Callithrix jacchus: one gene and its partners. The protein of the gene in region 1 binds, or shares a complex with, the protein of each later gene. Links are inferred from orthologs where the notes say so. Each region holds a gene or a part of one and is shown on either strand. Other genes may lie near its edges.

What was found. The genes of interacting proteins can lie anywhere in the genome.
Region 2: the proteins of LCK (region 1) and CD8A are in contact, whole or in part, in an NMR structure (PDB 1Q69), measured with the Homo sapiens proteins. The link is inferred for Callithrix jacchus from reciprocal best matches to the Homo sapiens genes LCK and CD8A. Residues at the interface, in NP_001036236.1 of Homo sapiens: Cys20, Asn22, Cys23, Tyr25, Pro26, Ile27, Val28; in NP_001139345.1 of Homo sapiens: Arg212, Arg213, Val214, Cys215, Lys216, Cys217.
Region 3: the proteins of LCK (region 1) and CD4 are in contact, whole or in part, in an NMR structure (PDB 1Q68), measured with the Homo sapiens proteins. The link is inferred for Callithrix jacchus from reciprocal best matches to the Homo sapiens genes LCK and CD4. Residues at the interface, in NP_001036236.1 of Homo sapiens: Glu15, Ile17, Val19, Cys20, Asn22, Cys23, Tyr25, Pro26, Ile27, Val28; in NP_000607.1 of Homo sapiens: Ala429, Arg431, Ile435, Leu438, Leu439, Lys443, Thr444, Cys445, Gln446, Cys447.

What each region holds. Positions count from the first base shown.
Region 1 is NC_133508.1:68,884,286-68,888,768, reverse strand, and holds the start of LCK (tyrosine-protein kinase Lck), read right to left. Parts: upstream 2,910-4,483; 5' UTR 2,833-2,909; coding exon 2,596-2,832; intron 2,298-2,595; coding exon 2,216-2,297; intron 2,050-2,215; coding exon 1,959-2,049; intron 1,727-1,958; coding exon 1,628-1,726; intron 1,478-1,627; coding exon 1,374-1,477; intron 1,176-1,373; coding exon 1,026-1,175; intron 656-1,025; coding exon 503-655; intron 386-502; coding exon 206-385; intron 1-205. UniProt on the Homo sapiens protein: Non-receptor tyrosine-protein kinase that plays an essential role in the selection and maturation of developing T-cells in the thymus and in the function of mature T-cells. Plays a key role in T-cell antigen receptor (TCR)-linked signal transduction pathways.
Region 2 is NC_133515.1:26,203,987-26,208,581, reverse strand, and holds the start of CD8A (T-cell surface glycoprotein CD8 alpha chain), read right to left. Parts: upstream 3,175-4,595; 5' UTR 3,066-3,174; coding exon 3,017-3,065; intron 2,936-3,016; coding exon 2,582-2,935; intron 2,028-2,581; coding exon 1,917-2,027; intron 1,710-1,916; coding exon 1,599-1,709; intron 870-1,598; coding exon 839-869; intron 1-838. UniProt on the Homo sapiens protein: Integral membrane glycoprotein that plays an essential role in the immune response and serves multiple functions in responses against both external and internal offenses. In T-cells, functions primarily as a coreceptor for MHC class I molecule:peptide complex.
Region 3 is NC_133510.1:21,059,865-21,064,448, reverse strand, and holds the start of CD4 (T-cell surface glycoprotein CD4), read right to left. Parts: upstream 3,175-4,584; 5' UTR 3,065-3,174; coding exon 3,051-3,064; intron 1-3,050. UniProt on the Homo sapiens protein: Integral membrane glycoprotein that plays an essential role in the immune response and serves multiple functions in responses against both external and internal offenses.

The DNA.
Region 1 (4,483 bases):
ACATTCTTGCCACCTTAGGCTGGTCCCCAGACAGGATCAGAGGATACACCTTCTTCTCATGTCTGGAGGTGAGTCTAGGGGCCAGGAAAGCTCAAGAAACCCTTCCTGCTTGAGCTTTGCGCCAGGAGTAAAGGTGTATTTCCACCCTCCAGCAGAGAAGGTGGGGAGAGCAGAGTCCCCCCGCGGCAACTCAGGCGGCACCCACCATTCTCCATGTATTCAGTGATGATGTAGATGGGCTCCTGGGTGACCACAGCGTAGAGGCGAACCAGCCGCTGGTGTTGCAGCTGCTTCATGAGGTTAGCCTCTGCCAGGAAGGCATCCGGGGACATGCTGCCCTGCTTCAGGCTCTTCACCGCCACCTTTGTGTGCTCGTTGTAGTACCCTGGGTCAGGGGAGGGAAGGACTGGGAGGCTCACCAGGCAGCTGTCCTGGGTCTCTCACCACCTCTGCAGCCCCTCCCGTTCCCCTCTTCCCAGGCAGTCCTGGAGGCCACACTCACCCATCCACACCTCCCCGAACTGTCCAGCCCCCAGCCGCTCCACCAGCTTCAGCGTCTCCCTGGGAACCTCCCACTCATCCTCCCACCAGGGCTTCTGGGGCTTCTGGGTCTGACAGGGGCGGCTCAGCCGTGTGCACAACCCATCTGAAGCATCTGCGAGGACAAGGGAGTGGGGAAGGTGGTCTTGTATTGACACCACCTCCGCCACTTCTCCAAGCCCACATCCAGGGGAAGTGGACTAGCAAAAACCACCTCCCCCACTTCTCCAAGTCCCCACCCAGGGGAAGTGGACTAGCAAAAACCACCTCCCCCACTTCTCCAAGCCCCCTATCCAGGGAAAGTAGACTAGCAGGCAGGTGTGGGGCTGTCACCCAAACCCTTGGGGCCGTAGGGTTCCACGGTTCCACACCTCACCCACTGCGGGGAATGGAGGAGCGCATTGAAAGATGGTTGGGGGACACCCGAAGGGGACTGAGGGAAGATGGGCTGATAGGGCACTGGGAAGGGGTCCCGCCAGGCTCACTGGTGTAATGGCGGACCAGTTCATGCAAGCCGGGAAAAGTGATTCGCGGGGAGATGTAGAAGCCACCGTTGTCCAGATTACGGATCTTGTAATGTTTCACCACCTCTCCCTGGTTCTGGTCAAAGTCCCGGACCGACAGTGAAAATGATCCTGAATAAATGAATGGATGGATAAAGGAACGAAAGAACGCAGAGTCTGGCCCGCCACCACGGCCCCCACCTCAGGCTCACCCCGCGCGCCCCACTCCGGCTCACCCCACGCCCCCACCTCGAGCTCACCCCCTCGCCTCCCTTTGGCTCACCCCGCGGCCCCCACCCCCGCGCCGGGTCGAGGCCGCCGCCCGCTCACCCGCGGTGCTCTCGCTCTCCCGGATGAGGAAGGAGCCGTGAGTGTTCCCTGGCGCCAGGAGCTGCCGCTCCGCATCCTTGCGGCTCAGGTTCTTGAAGAACCAGCTGTGCAGGGCGGAAGCCAACACAGGCCATCGGCTGTTGTCGAATCTTCCTCCGTGGCCCTCAAGCCTTCACCGCCACCCCAGGCCCACTCCCTGCTCCAGGATCCCTGGATCTGCTTCCATCCCCCCTCCACGACGGGACCCCACTCACGGTTCGGGCTCCAGGCTGTTCGCTTTGGCCACAAAATTGAAGGGGACGAAGCCTTCCTGGCCCGTGGTCAGGGACTGCGCCTTCCACCACTCGCCGTTCCTGCGCCACGGAGGCGGGTCAGTGCGGCCCACTCAGCCGTTGATCTGAGGCTATCCCTCAAAGACCCCCCAACCCTGAAGCCAGCCTCCCGAACCCTGGCTCCGCACTCCTGAGCCTCGAATTTTGTCCCAAGGGCGGCCACCCTAGCCAGTCAAGGGCCGCAGGAGGGCTGCGGTACCGGAGATCCCCGCTCCCTCACGGACTCCCCAGAGCAAGGTGGTCAGGGACTCACTGCTCCAGGATTCGGAGCTGTTCCCCTTTCTCAAAGCCCAGGTCTCCGTCGTGAGAGGGCTTGTAGCTGTGCAGGGCAATAACCAGGTTGTCTGTAAAGACAAGCGGCATCAGGGAGAACCGGCCTGAGATGGGCAGGAAGCCTGGAGTTATGGGGCAGGCGACAAGGAAGGCAGGACAAGGGAGAGAGTAGGTGGGGAGGAGGTGGAAGCCGACAGCGAGGGATCTTGTTTTTCAAGCCCTGCTGCCTGGGGTCACCTTGCAGTGGGGAGGCCGGCGGATTGGAGCCCTCGTAGGTGACCAGTGGGTCCCGAACCTCAGAGCCGTTTCGGAAGAGCAGCTGTGGGGTGGGGGATGAAGAGTGGAGTCAGAGAGCAGAAGACTGGGTCAGACCCTGGCCCCCTTCCCCTCTGCTCTCAGCCTTTCCGCCTGGTTGGGTCTTATCCCTGAATTGATCAACTGCTTGCTGTGTGATCTTAGGAGAGTCCCTTTCCCTCTCTGGGCCTCTTTTCCTTTCCTGTATTCCAGGGGAGAGGGCCGCTCTATTCTTTCAAGGGCCTGTATCGCTGGTCATTTCTTCCTCCTGGGTTGCATGGTCTACCCAACTCCCTCACTAAGGCCCCTGTCTTGCCTCTTACCGTGGCCTTGCCATCCAGTGGGACTATGGGATAATGGCAGTTCTCACACACATCGATGTTCTCCATCCAGTCATCTTCCGGGTGTGAGCTGCAGCCACAGCCCATGGTCCCTGAGGGAATGGAGAAGGGGGCTGAAGGGGCTCCCCCAAGATCTGCTCCCCCAGCATCAGACATCATGGGGCCTTGCCCTGGAAACTTCCAAAAGTACCTGAGATCGTGAGATCCTGGGATCCCCATTCACCAGCCACAGAAAAGGTAAAACAGGGGGTCCCAGCTCCAAACCGGTGCTCCCTCTGAGCCCTCAGGGTACAAGTAAATTCACACAGGCCCCTGAGCCCTAGCCCCACCCTCCCACCTGGGATGGGCAAACTGCCACAGGCACCTTTGTTAGTCTAGTTACCCACTTCCTGCCTCTTCCCCCTCCCTTTCCCTCTGCTGGTACCAGTGTCTGTAGGGAGGACTACCTTCTGAAGATGACACACACTTCCCCAAGCCTGGGGGAGACCTCACTCCATCAGACTCTCCCTTACTGGAGAGATGTGCATGCCCCACCCACCTCCTTTTATAATTCCCCTGTCTAGCTGAAGAGGCTGAGAAAGAGACTTCCACTCCCAAGGTCTGCCATCAGGCCCCGCGCTCCCCACACAACCCCAGAGTCAAGTCACAGTGTTTCTTCAAACATGGGCCTGCTCCTCCCCAGCACAAAACCTCCCAGTGGCTCTGTGGGCCATAACTCTTTTTGTTTATTTGCCTGTTTTAGCAGTGGAACTTTTTTGTCTGATGAAATCAAGCAGAACTCCATAGATAAGGTGATAAAAAGTGGGCCTGAAGCAGAGTGAGGGCCTTGCTTTGAAGCTCCTGGAGTCCCCACAACTCCTCCTTCTCTAGCGCGGCTCCTTAGAGCACTTGGAAAGCTCTGTCCTCGAATAAAGTTTAATGTTTCGTGCATTCCAGACCTCGCATATCAAGATCAAATCTACCTCCAAAGTCCATTCCGCTACACAAACACTCTCACACACACACACACACACACACACACCTTATATACACACACACCCTACACACACACAGGCACCCACTACCCCACCCCCCACACAGAGGCATCCACACTCACACACACAGAGGCAGGCACACACACACTCTCTCTCTCACACACACACAGGCACCTCTACCCCACCCCCCACACAGACACATTTACACTCACACACGCAGGCACACACACACACACACTCACATACACACAAACACCCCCACACACACACATTCACACACAGACTCATTCCCCCAATACACAGGCACCACACACACACATACTCACATAAACACATACACTCATCCCACCCACAAGTACACACACACACACACACTCACACACAGGTATCCACACACATAGTCACATACACACCCTATACACACAGGCACCCACACCCATGAACACACACACCCACATACACACACATACACAGGAACCAACACCCACACAAATGCACTCATCCAACACACATCTCACCCTAGGTTCCCCCTCCCACACACACATTCATACACACACAGGCACCTCCACACTAACACAAACACCTACAGTCACCCCCACACACCCACATCCATACACACACACACTCACATCCCCAGACACACACACAGGCACTGGCATCCCCTCCACACACACCCCCACATACCCACACTCACACACAAATACACACACACACAGGCACCACACACACACACGGCCTCTGTTCTGAACTATTTTTGCCGTTCCCAAACACCCCATGCTATTTTCTTACTTCATGCCTTTGTACTTGTGGTTCCCCCTGCTTTGAAATGCTCTCTCTCTTCCTCTCTCCTTGTCTCTCTCTCTCTTTTGAGAGAGGGTTTCCCTCCCTTGCCCAGG
Region 2 (4,595 bases), on another chromosome or scaffold:
ACAGTATGGCTTTGGACAAATCACTAAGTGTTCTGAGCCTCAGTTTCCTTATCTGTAAAATGGAGGTGATCGTAACTACTTTAAAGGTGGTTATAAAACTTTTAAAAAAAAAATCTAGAAAGCAAGTAACGTGTATGGTAACTTTCATCAAATGGTAATTATTATTGATAATCTGAGTTTAATCCTGCCGTTGCCACTTTGGGTAGGTTTCCTAATCCTTGAGCCCATGAGCTGTGAGATGGGACAAGGTTGCTGTGAGGATTAAGAGAGCTGGGGAGTATCACCCCTATCACAGTGCCTGGCAACAGCAGGCACTTGTTAGATGCTGCCACAGGGATGCCTCAGCCAACGAGTGAAGAGAGGAGGTTTTTAACAGAAAATGTGTTTTTTATTTTTAAATGATTTCAGAATGATCGTGGGCTGAAACTGGATAGGGCAGTCACTTGAGCTGCCAGATAGTGAATTGTCCCTGCATCTGGTTCCCCATTTTTCTACTCCAGTCCTTGGCAGAAAACCAAGGCCCCACATGATACAGAGAAATTAGGAACCAAAGCCATTCTTTTTTTTTTTTTAAGTGCCAGGCCAAATAAGATGGAGATTTACTGGAGTCACACTGCTCTCAGCACCAGCCTAACCCGGGCCTCCTTTTTCTCAAGGATGCAGGCCAGATGCCAGCCTCAGCTTCTCTTTGCTTTGGAACGAGCTGACTCCCTGCCCCAGGACTCCACGGCCATGACCTCCCTTTGGGAAAAGTTCCCACTATTTGCTGCTGCGGAAATCAGGACCCCACTCCAGGACTGCCCAAGGTGAGCAGGCTGAGAGTTCAAAAGAGACTCACCGGGGACATTTGCAAACACGTCTTCGGTTCCCTGGATAAAGGAGAAAGAAGGGAAAAAGTGAGTGCCCCCATCCACCAGTAGTCCCCAAAGACGGGGTATTTTGTTTGTTTTGTTTTTTGGTTTTACAAAAAAAAAAAAAAAAATTATTTCAGAATGATCATGGGCTGAAATTGGATGGGGCAGATAGCGAATTGCCCCTACGATTTCTCCTTCCTTTCCCCTATTTCTTTGAGGATTATAACTCTTGAGACCCAGGTAAGGGTTTCTCATCCATCCTTCGTCTCAAGCATCAATTTAAAGAAAAAAATGCAACTATAGACGTGAGTGAACGCGAGGAGCCTGTAGACCTGATCCGGCACCTCCCCTGCATGGGACCCAAAGCGGGTGGGCGGCTCACGGGAAGGGAACCAAGGGTGAACTGGTCGTGGTTTTGACCTAACCCTTATGGGCACTTGACCCAGGGCCACGGCGGCCCCCTCCTGGCGAGCGTTTGTCCTGTGTCCGGACCTGTGCGCTAGCTGCGGGCTTCGCTGACGGAACACACCCGTTGCAGCCCCTCTGGGAACAGGGCTTTATCTTCCCAAAACCTCTCCAAGAGCGCGAGAAGGAGCAGGAAGGGCTCTCTCGCGTCCTATCTCCAGGAAAGAAGTGCCTGTACCTGTGGGGCAGCTCGAGAGTCCCAGAAATCTCAACCCACCGCCCTCAAGGTCTGGCGGGAGCTGGGCGGACTCATCCTCGCCACGATTCCTCGGAACTTACTGTGATTGCAGTAAACGGTGAGGACCAGTGACAGGAGAAGGATCCCGCAGGTCCCGGCCAGGGGCACCCAGATGTAGATATCACAGGCGAAGTCCAGCCCCCTCGTGTCCCCTGACGACACCAAAGACAACAACATTTAGGAGCGGGCCCGGGATCCCCCGACCCGGCCCACCGTCCCGGACGCGTCTCTTGGCCTCAGGTCTCGGTTTCCCACCACTTGGACATGCCTCGGCTCTACCTACAGTATCAGGGCTGCCCCTGGCATGGGCTTTCCCCGCGGTCCGTGCCGCCCCCGCGCCGGGACTCCGCACATCTCACCTGCGACCCCCGCCGCTGGCCGGCAAGCCTGTGGACGCAGGGACAGGGGCTGCGACGCTGTGGTGGGCTCCGGTGTGGGTGGTCGCGGCGCTGGCGTCGTGGTGGGCTTCGCTGCAGGAGCAATAGAGCGTGGTGGGGGGCCAGGCTGGGGTTATGGACCGGCCCCTACCCAGCCTGGCCCCGGGAGCCTTTCCCTACGGGGGAGCCTCCCCGCGGGTTTTCCTGGGAGAAGGGATGGCAGAGGAGACGGGATGAAGACCCGGCGATGCTCGCCGACCCCGGTGCTTCTCCCTGGCTCAGCCCTGAGCACGCGGCGCCCGGGGCCAGAGCGCAGAAGCCCGCTTCCTGGCACCCGGCCTCTCTCCTGGGCTGAACCAGCAACCCTGGTTTACCCACGAGCAAACAGAGGCGCAGAGAATTTAAGTCGTTTGCCCAGAACCACGCAAGCATCCGAACTCGAGCCCAGATCAGCCGGACCTAAAAAGCCATCTCCATTCCCCAGTCAGCCGCAGGTTAGCCTCAGTTTGCCCGTCTGTGAAATGGGAACAGTATACAAGTCGGTTCCAGGTGCTCTAGGAGGCTTGAAAGCAGGGCCTCCGTGTGGAAAACAAAGTGAGGGGAGCCCCGAGCCCCACGCGGAGAGGCGCCGCACCCCGCGCCCGGACCTGGCAGGAAGACCGGCACGAAGCTGCTGAAGTACATGATGGAGTTTCTCAGGGCCGAGCAGAAATAGTAGCCCTGGTTCTCCTCTCGGAAGTCGCTCAGGGTGAGAATGAAGCTGTCCCCCATCTTCTTGCCGGAGTATCGCTGGGTGTCCAGCCCATCGGCCACCTTGGACTTGGTTTGGGAGATGTATAGGAGGAAGTTGGGGCTGGCGGCAGCGCCGCGCGGCTGAAAGAGCCACGAGCAGCCGGAGGCCGGGTTGGACAGCAGCACCTCGCACTTCAGCTCCACCGTGTCGCCCAAGTTCCAGGTCCGATCCAGCGGCGACACCCGGAACCGGCTGGGCCTGGCAGCATCTGGAGGCAGCAGACAGCGAGGCTGAGTCCCGCGCCCCCCGACCGCCCCACCCCCTGCCTTCCCGGGGGTCGCAAACTCACGGAGCAGCATGGCCAGCGGCAGGAGCAAGGCGGTCACTGGCGAGGCCATGACGCCCTCCCCAGGACACTGCGAGGGTCGGCTCGAAGCTCGGGCGCGAGGAGAGGCGAGCGGGAGTCGGTGGGGCGCACAGCGGGGCGGCGGGGGTGGGGGGAGTTTCGCCCTTCGACCTGCCCGGAGACTAATTTCGCATTTGAAGGATGTGATGTCACCTGAAGCCCCCGCCGGGGAGAGTCACCCTCCTTTTCGCGGTTGTCGCCTTCTGAAGAGACTGGGGGCCGTGAGTGGGGCCGTCGAGGCAGCCTGGCGATGCAGCTGGGGACAGTTGAAAACTGCGGGTTTGGGAACGAGGAAAAGGGCTTGGAAATAGTCCTTGGAAATGGCTGCCTTGTGACATTGACAGAGTGGGTGAAGAGAGACCAAAGGTTTCAAGTGAGGGCGAGAGCAGGCAGGAAAGGAGGGGAGTGTCCCTTCCTTTGCCTTAACTAAAGGCGTCTCTTGAACTGTCACTTTGGGGCTTTTTATCGGCAAAATGGGCACTGAGGACTGAAAAGGAAGAAGAGCTAGCAACCTACCCGCTTCTCGGGAACTCGGGCAGAACACCGAGGAAGGGCCCTCTCCCTTCCCCCAGGAGATTTCCATGAGGGCGGCAGCAGCCGAAGCCTTGGGTGGCGCTGCTGACCTCACCCTTCCGGGCTTTCGCCTAGCGGCTAAACTCACCACACAGCCTCAACTCTTCTTGCGGCCGTTGCAAGAGCCTCCACACCAGTCTCTCTCCTGACTTGTCTTCCAGACACGTTGTTATAAAAATTATTATTCTCCCTGTAATTCCAGCACTTTGGGAGGCCGAGGCGGAGGGATCACCTGAGGTCGGGAGTTCGAGACCAGCCTAACCAGCATGGAGAAACCCCGCCTCTACTAAAAATACAAAATTAGCCGGGCATGATGGCAGGTGCCTATAATCCCAGCTACGTGGGAGGCTGAGGCAGGAGGATCTCTTGAACTCGGGAGGCGGAGGTTGCAGGTGAGCCAAGATTGTGCCACTGCATCCCAGCCTAGGCAACAAGAGCAAAACCCCATCCCCCCCAAAAAAATTATTATTCTCATAAAGGGGATCTGACAACGTCACTCCTGCAGCCTCCCATGGTCTGCATTGCTGGATGGAAACTCAACCCCAGGTTCGTTGACCAGGCCTAGGGTGCTGGCTCCTCCCAGCCTCTGCACAGCCCCCTGCCCTGCCCTTCCCATACACCTGCAGCTGCAGCTTTACAGGCTTGAAGTCATCCAACCACTGCCCTCTGTGCTTTCACACCCTTGCACTTACAGTCCCTAACAGACCAGGGATACTGGTCTGTTTAAGCCCTGGAGCCAGCTCCTGTGCTGTCTCACTTGGACCTCATTTCTTTTGCCCCCAGCTCTGGGTGCTCTGCAGAGAGGCATGGATGACATGGGTGAATGTTTGGTGGAGGTGTTTTTCTCTCTTCTATCCCTGGTACATGTGTGTGGTCCCCTTCCCTTTTGTTTCCCTTAAAAAAAGAAAGAAAAAAAAAAGGTTAGAGTCTCATTATTTTGCTCAGGCTG
Region 3 (4,584 bases), on another chromosome or scaffold:
CCGCTCCTCCTTTTTCATCTTGCCCTCTCCAGCTGCCACTAAGCTCTAGCTTCTTCCGGCCTGTACACAGGCCTTCTGGCCTTTGGCAGCAATGCAGGCCCTGAACAAGCTTTGATCTGCGGGGAACCTGCCGAGCACGCCTGCAGCCCAGGGTGGATGTGAGGGAGCTGGCTGCAGGGTGGGAGGGACACTGTGGACAAAGGGAAATGGACAGATTTCCCCAGAATGCACAGAGGCCTCAAGGGAGGAGGGGAGGAATAGATGTGGGAGGGAGACCTGGAGCAGCTTGTTAAAGCAACAGCTACACACACACAATCCACAACCACATGCAAAGCGCAGGGTACTACAAAAAAGAGGAAAAGAAGACATGCTGAGAAGCAAGACAGACGCACAGAGCGGAGACCCAAAGTGAGGCAAAGAGAGACCGAGATAGAGACGAGACCAAAATGGCAACACACTCCATGCACTCTCGCAGAGCCTTGAGGTTCCCGCCGCCCTCACCCCTGGCCCCCCAGGGATGGGACGAGGAGCGAGACTTGGGAGAGGAAGAGAGCCCACCTCCGCCACAGCGAAAGTCTGTGGTCCTACAGGCACTTTTATCTTCTCCCCATAACCCCCAAGCAACCCACTTAAGCGCAGCCACGGGATGCGCCCCACCATGTTCACCCTCTCTACTGCTGACTGGCTTCCTAGAAACTTCCTGGGGACTGTGACCCCTCTAAGGAACTCTTGTGGTTGGTGGCTGCAACCTCCGCCATCCTCTTCTTCGCCTCAGACACCCACATCGAGGGAACTGTGCCCACCCTCCTCCCCTCCTCCCCTCATCCCCGCAAAGGTACAGAACGGAGCTCAACCTCAGAGCTTTGCAAACCCAGACCCCTGCCCGTCTATCTCTGATTCCCCACCTTCATCAAAGTTATTTTGAGACAGGGCCTCACTCTCGCCTACGCTAGCACGCGATGCAGTGGCACAATCAGGGCTCATTGCAGCCTCCGTCTCCCAGGCTCAAGCAATCTTCCCACCTCAGCCTCTCAAGTAGCTGGAACCACAGGCACACACTACCATGCCCAGCTAACTTTTGTATTTTTTGTAGAGATAGGGGTTTCATTATGTTGCCCAGGCTGGTCTCAAACTCCTAGGCTCAAGTCATCCTCATGCCTTGGCCTCCCAAAGGGCTGGGATTACAGGTGTGGGCCAACTCGCCCAGCCCATCAAAGTTATTTGATTCAACAAATATTTGCTGAGTGTCTAAAATGTGTAAGACTGGCCCGGTGGTGGCTCACATCTGTAATCCCAGCACTTTGGGAGGCCAAGAAGGGCAGATCACTTGAGGTCAGGAGTTTGAGACCAGCCTGGCTAATATAGTGTAACCCTGTCTCTACTAAAAATACAAAAATTAGCCGGGCATGATGACAGACACCTGTAATCCCAGCTACTTGAAAGGCTGAGGCAGGAGAATCACTTGAACCTGGGAGGCAGAGGCTGCAGTGAGTCAAGATCACGCCATTGCACTCCAGCCCAGGCGACAGAGTGACACTCTGTCTCAAAAATAGTAAGAATAAATAAATAAAATGTGCAAGACAATTGATCTAGCCAATTCCCCTCAGCACCACCCCGCCATTACGGCCAGGGCCAGGGCCTAGGGCGGCCCTAAAGGCTCTGCCTAGCACCCTTGGTGGGAAGAGGGAAATCATCTCTCAAATGTCTCTAACGCTGTCCTCATGGGCTCTTTCATCTGACTTTGAAGGCGGCAGCCATTTTGTATCAGCCTACAGCATCTGATACAGCACAGGAATTATCTGTCAAAATGTGAAGTAGCAGTGACCTCCGCCATCAGGACCTACTCTTAGCCCACTAAAAATGTGCCCCATAAAAGCAGGGCACTCAGGAAGCACTATCCCACTCAGAGCGAAAGCTTCTAATTATTGAGAATGGGGCCTTTCCATGTTAAGGGATCAGACTGTGCCCCAGGAACCCTCTCTCCCAGAAAAAGCTTATGAGGGGAAAAGCAGAGGACACTGGGGATAGCATGGCTTCAAGGAGCTGGAAAGTTCTGAGGTGAAGAGGCTGAGATTGTACAGGGCTTCCGGTCAAGAGGGATAGAGTCCGCCCTCTCGCTCACACCCGGCCAGGCCCAGGCGGGGCTCCACGCCCTTCTCAACTCTCCTGGCCTTGGGAGACCCCCACCGCCAATTCTCTTCGAATCCATTTCTTAAATGACATATTCATCTAAAGATACACATCTGTCACATTTACGGCATTTCACACGCAAAAGCTCAGTTTGAACACCTTCTGAGAATTTTAGCTTTCCTATTTCATGAATTATTTTAAAGCTATCTAGAAAAGTGTCTTTAGACATTGTTCAAAAATCTTAAAAGAGCAAAAAAGTAGACAAAAATTTTTAAATACACACATAAGCACAAAAGGTAGTTAAAAGAGACTATTACATAGATCATGTGACTTATGAAATGCTGCTCATATGATACTTCGTGTAAATGTTTGGAGATCGCACCATCAGGAAAAGTGATTTTGCAGGAATTTTCTCTAGACTAGCTTCTGCTTCTTTTTGTCTTTTTCTTGCTTTTGTCGTTTTTCCTCATCATTTCGTTTTTATGGGTTTCCTCCCATCTTATATTTATTCTTTCTGATGTTTCCCTCCCCTCATTCACTCTTTTTCTCCTCTTTTCCCCTCTTCCAGTCTTCTCTCCTCCACCGCCCATGACTAGTTACCTCCCACACCTTTCCCAGCCTGGGGTAGTCTCCAGCCCTCACTCTCTCTCTGATATTGCCATTCCGGTCAATACTCCTCTGAGGAGCACCCGCTGCTCTGGGCACTGAGCTGTGCACACCGGGGCTGCAGAGAGCAGTCTGGCACAGCCCCTGACCTCTGAAGCTCGCAGTTCTGGTGGAAGATTGCTGCTCATGATCCGTTCCAAAAGAAATGCAAGGGAAGGTGGGCAGACAACTGGGCAGAGCACGTTCCTGTGCATCTGCCCCACGTTCCCCTCCCTCCCAGCTCCAGGGAAAGAAGCCGAGTCTGACCATCTTACCTCTGGCCTTGCATCTTTCTTGCCCTCTGCTTCTCAAAAAAGGTGTCTCTGTGTGAGGACTTGGAGCTCTGCAGCCAGGAGCCCAATGGGGAGGGTGCTTTGTTTCTTCTGCAGAGTCGTGCTTAAATGAAGAGAGACAGGAAGCCCAATGGGGAGGCTCCTCCACACCCTAGGCCTGGGCTGGCCCTCCACGTCACCACCTGGAGCTGGGGTCCCCACCCCCGGCTCTCAGAAAACATCTCAAAGTGAAAATGCCAAAGTCAAGGGAAAAAGTTCAGCAGAATCAGGCTGGAGCCACAGTGCCACTGCCACTGTTAAGTGGCAAGAAAAGGATTGCAAGAAAGATTCCACCAGTGACACTATCGTATCTGACCAGAAGTGGGAGGTAGCTGGGGGCATACGGGAACAGCCGTGGCAAGTCCACAAATAGCTCCTCGCTCCGGGGCCCTGAGGGCCTGTGTTCAGTGGCTGCCTCCAGGGGTATCGGTGGGGGCTTTGTAGGTGGCCCAGTGTGGAAGAGAGGGTGTGGGCTGAGCAGAGGATACCTGAGACACCAGGAGTGACTGTGAACCAGACTCTGTTCCTCTGGGCGTCTCTGGCCGGGCCTTAAACGCTTTCCTTTAGCCCATATCTCTCGTGGGCTCCAGATGTGGGTATCCACCAGCGCATTGGACATCTCCATTGGGAAGCTCACCGGCCATAGCAAACTCAACATATCCCCAACTAAACATACCACCTGCATACCGCCACCCTCCAGACCTGCAGCATGTAGTACTGTGTGCTGCTTCTCATTTCATGGCTACTGTACTCAAGGGTTGAGATTTAATAACATTAGTATTTACTACTTCATCATTAAGGGCATTTTTTTTTTTTTTTGAGACAGAGTCTTGCTCTGTCACCAAGCTGGAGTTAAGTGACGAGATCTCAGCTCACTGCAACCTCTGCCTCCCGGGTTCAAGGGATTCTTCTGCTTTAGCCTCCCAAGTAGCTGGGAACTACAAGTGCACCATCATACCCAGCTAATTTTTGTATTTTTTTGTTTGTTTTTAGGTGGAGTTTCGCTCTTGTTGCCCAGGCTGGAGTGCAATGGCCCAGTCTCAGCTCACTGCAACCTCCACTTCCCGGGTTCAAGCAATTCTCCTGCCTCAGCCTCCAGAGTAGCTGGGATTACAAATGCCCACCACCATGTCCAGCTAATTTTTTTTGTTTTTTTGTATTTTTAGTAGAGATGGGGTTTCACCAAGTTGGCCAGGCTGGTCTTGAATGAGAGCCACTGAGCCTGCCCATTTTTTTTTCTGCCTGAGATGGAGTCTTGCTCTGCTGCCCAGGCTGGAGTGCAGTGGCGTGATCTCTGCGCATTGCAACCTCTGCCTCCTGGGTTCAAGTCAGTCTCGTGCCTCAGCCTCCAGGTATGTGGCACCACGCCCGACTAATTTTTTGTATTTTTAGTGGAGATGGTGTTTCACTGTGTTAGCCAGGATGGTCTCGATCTCCTGACTTCTTGATCTGCCCACCTCTGCCTCCCAAAGTGCTG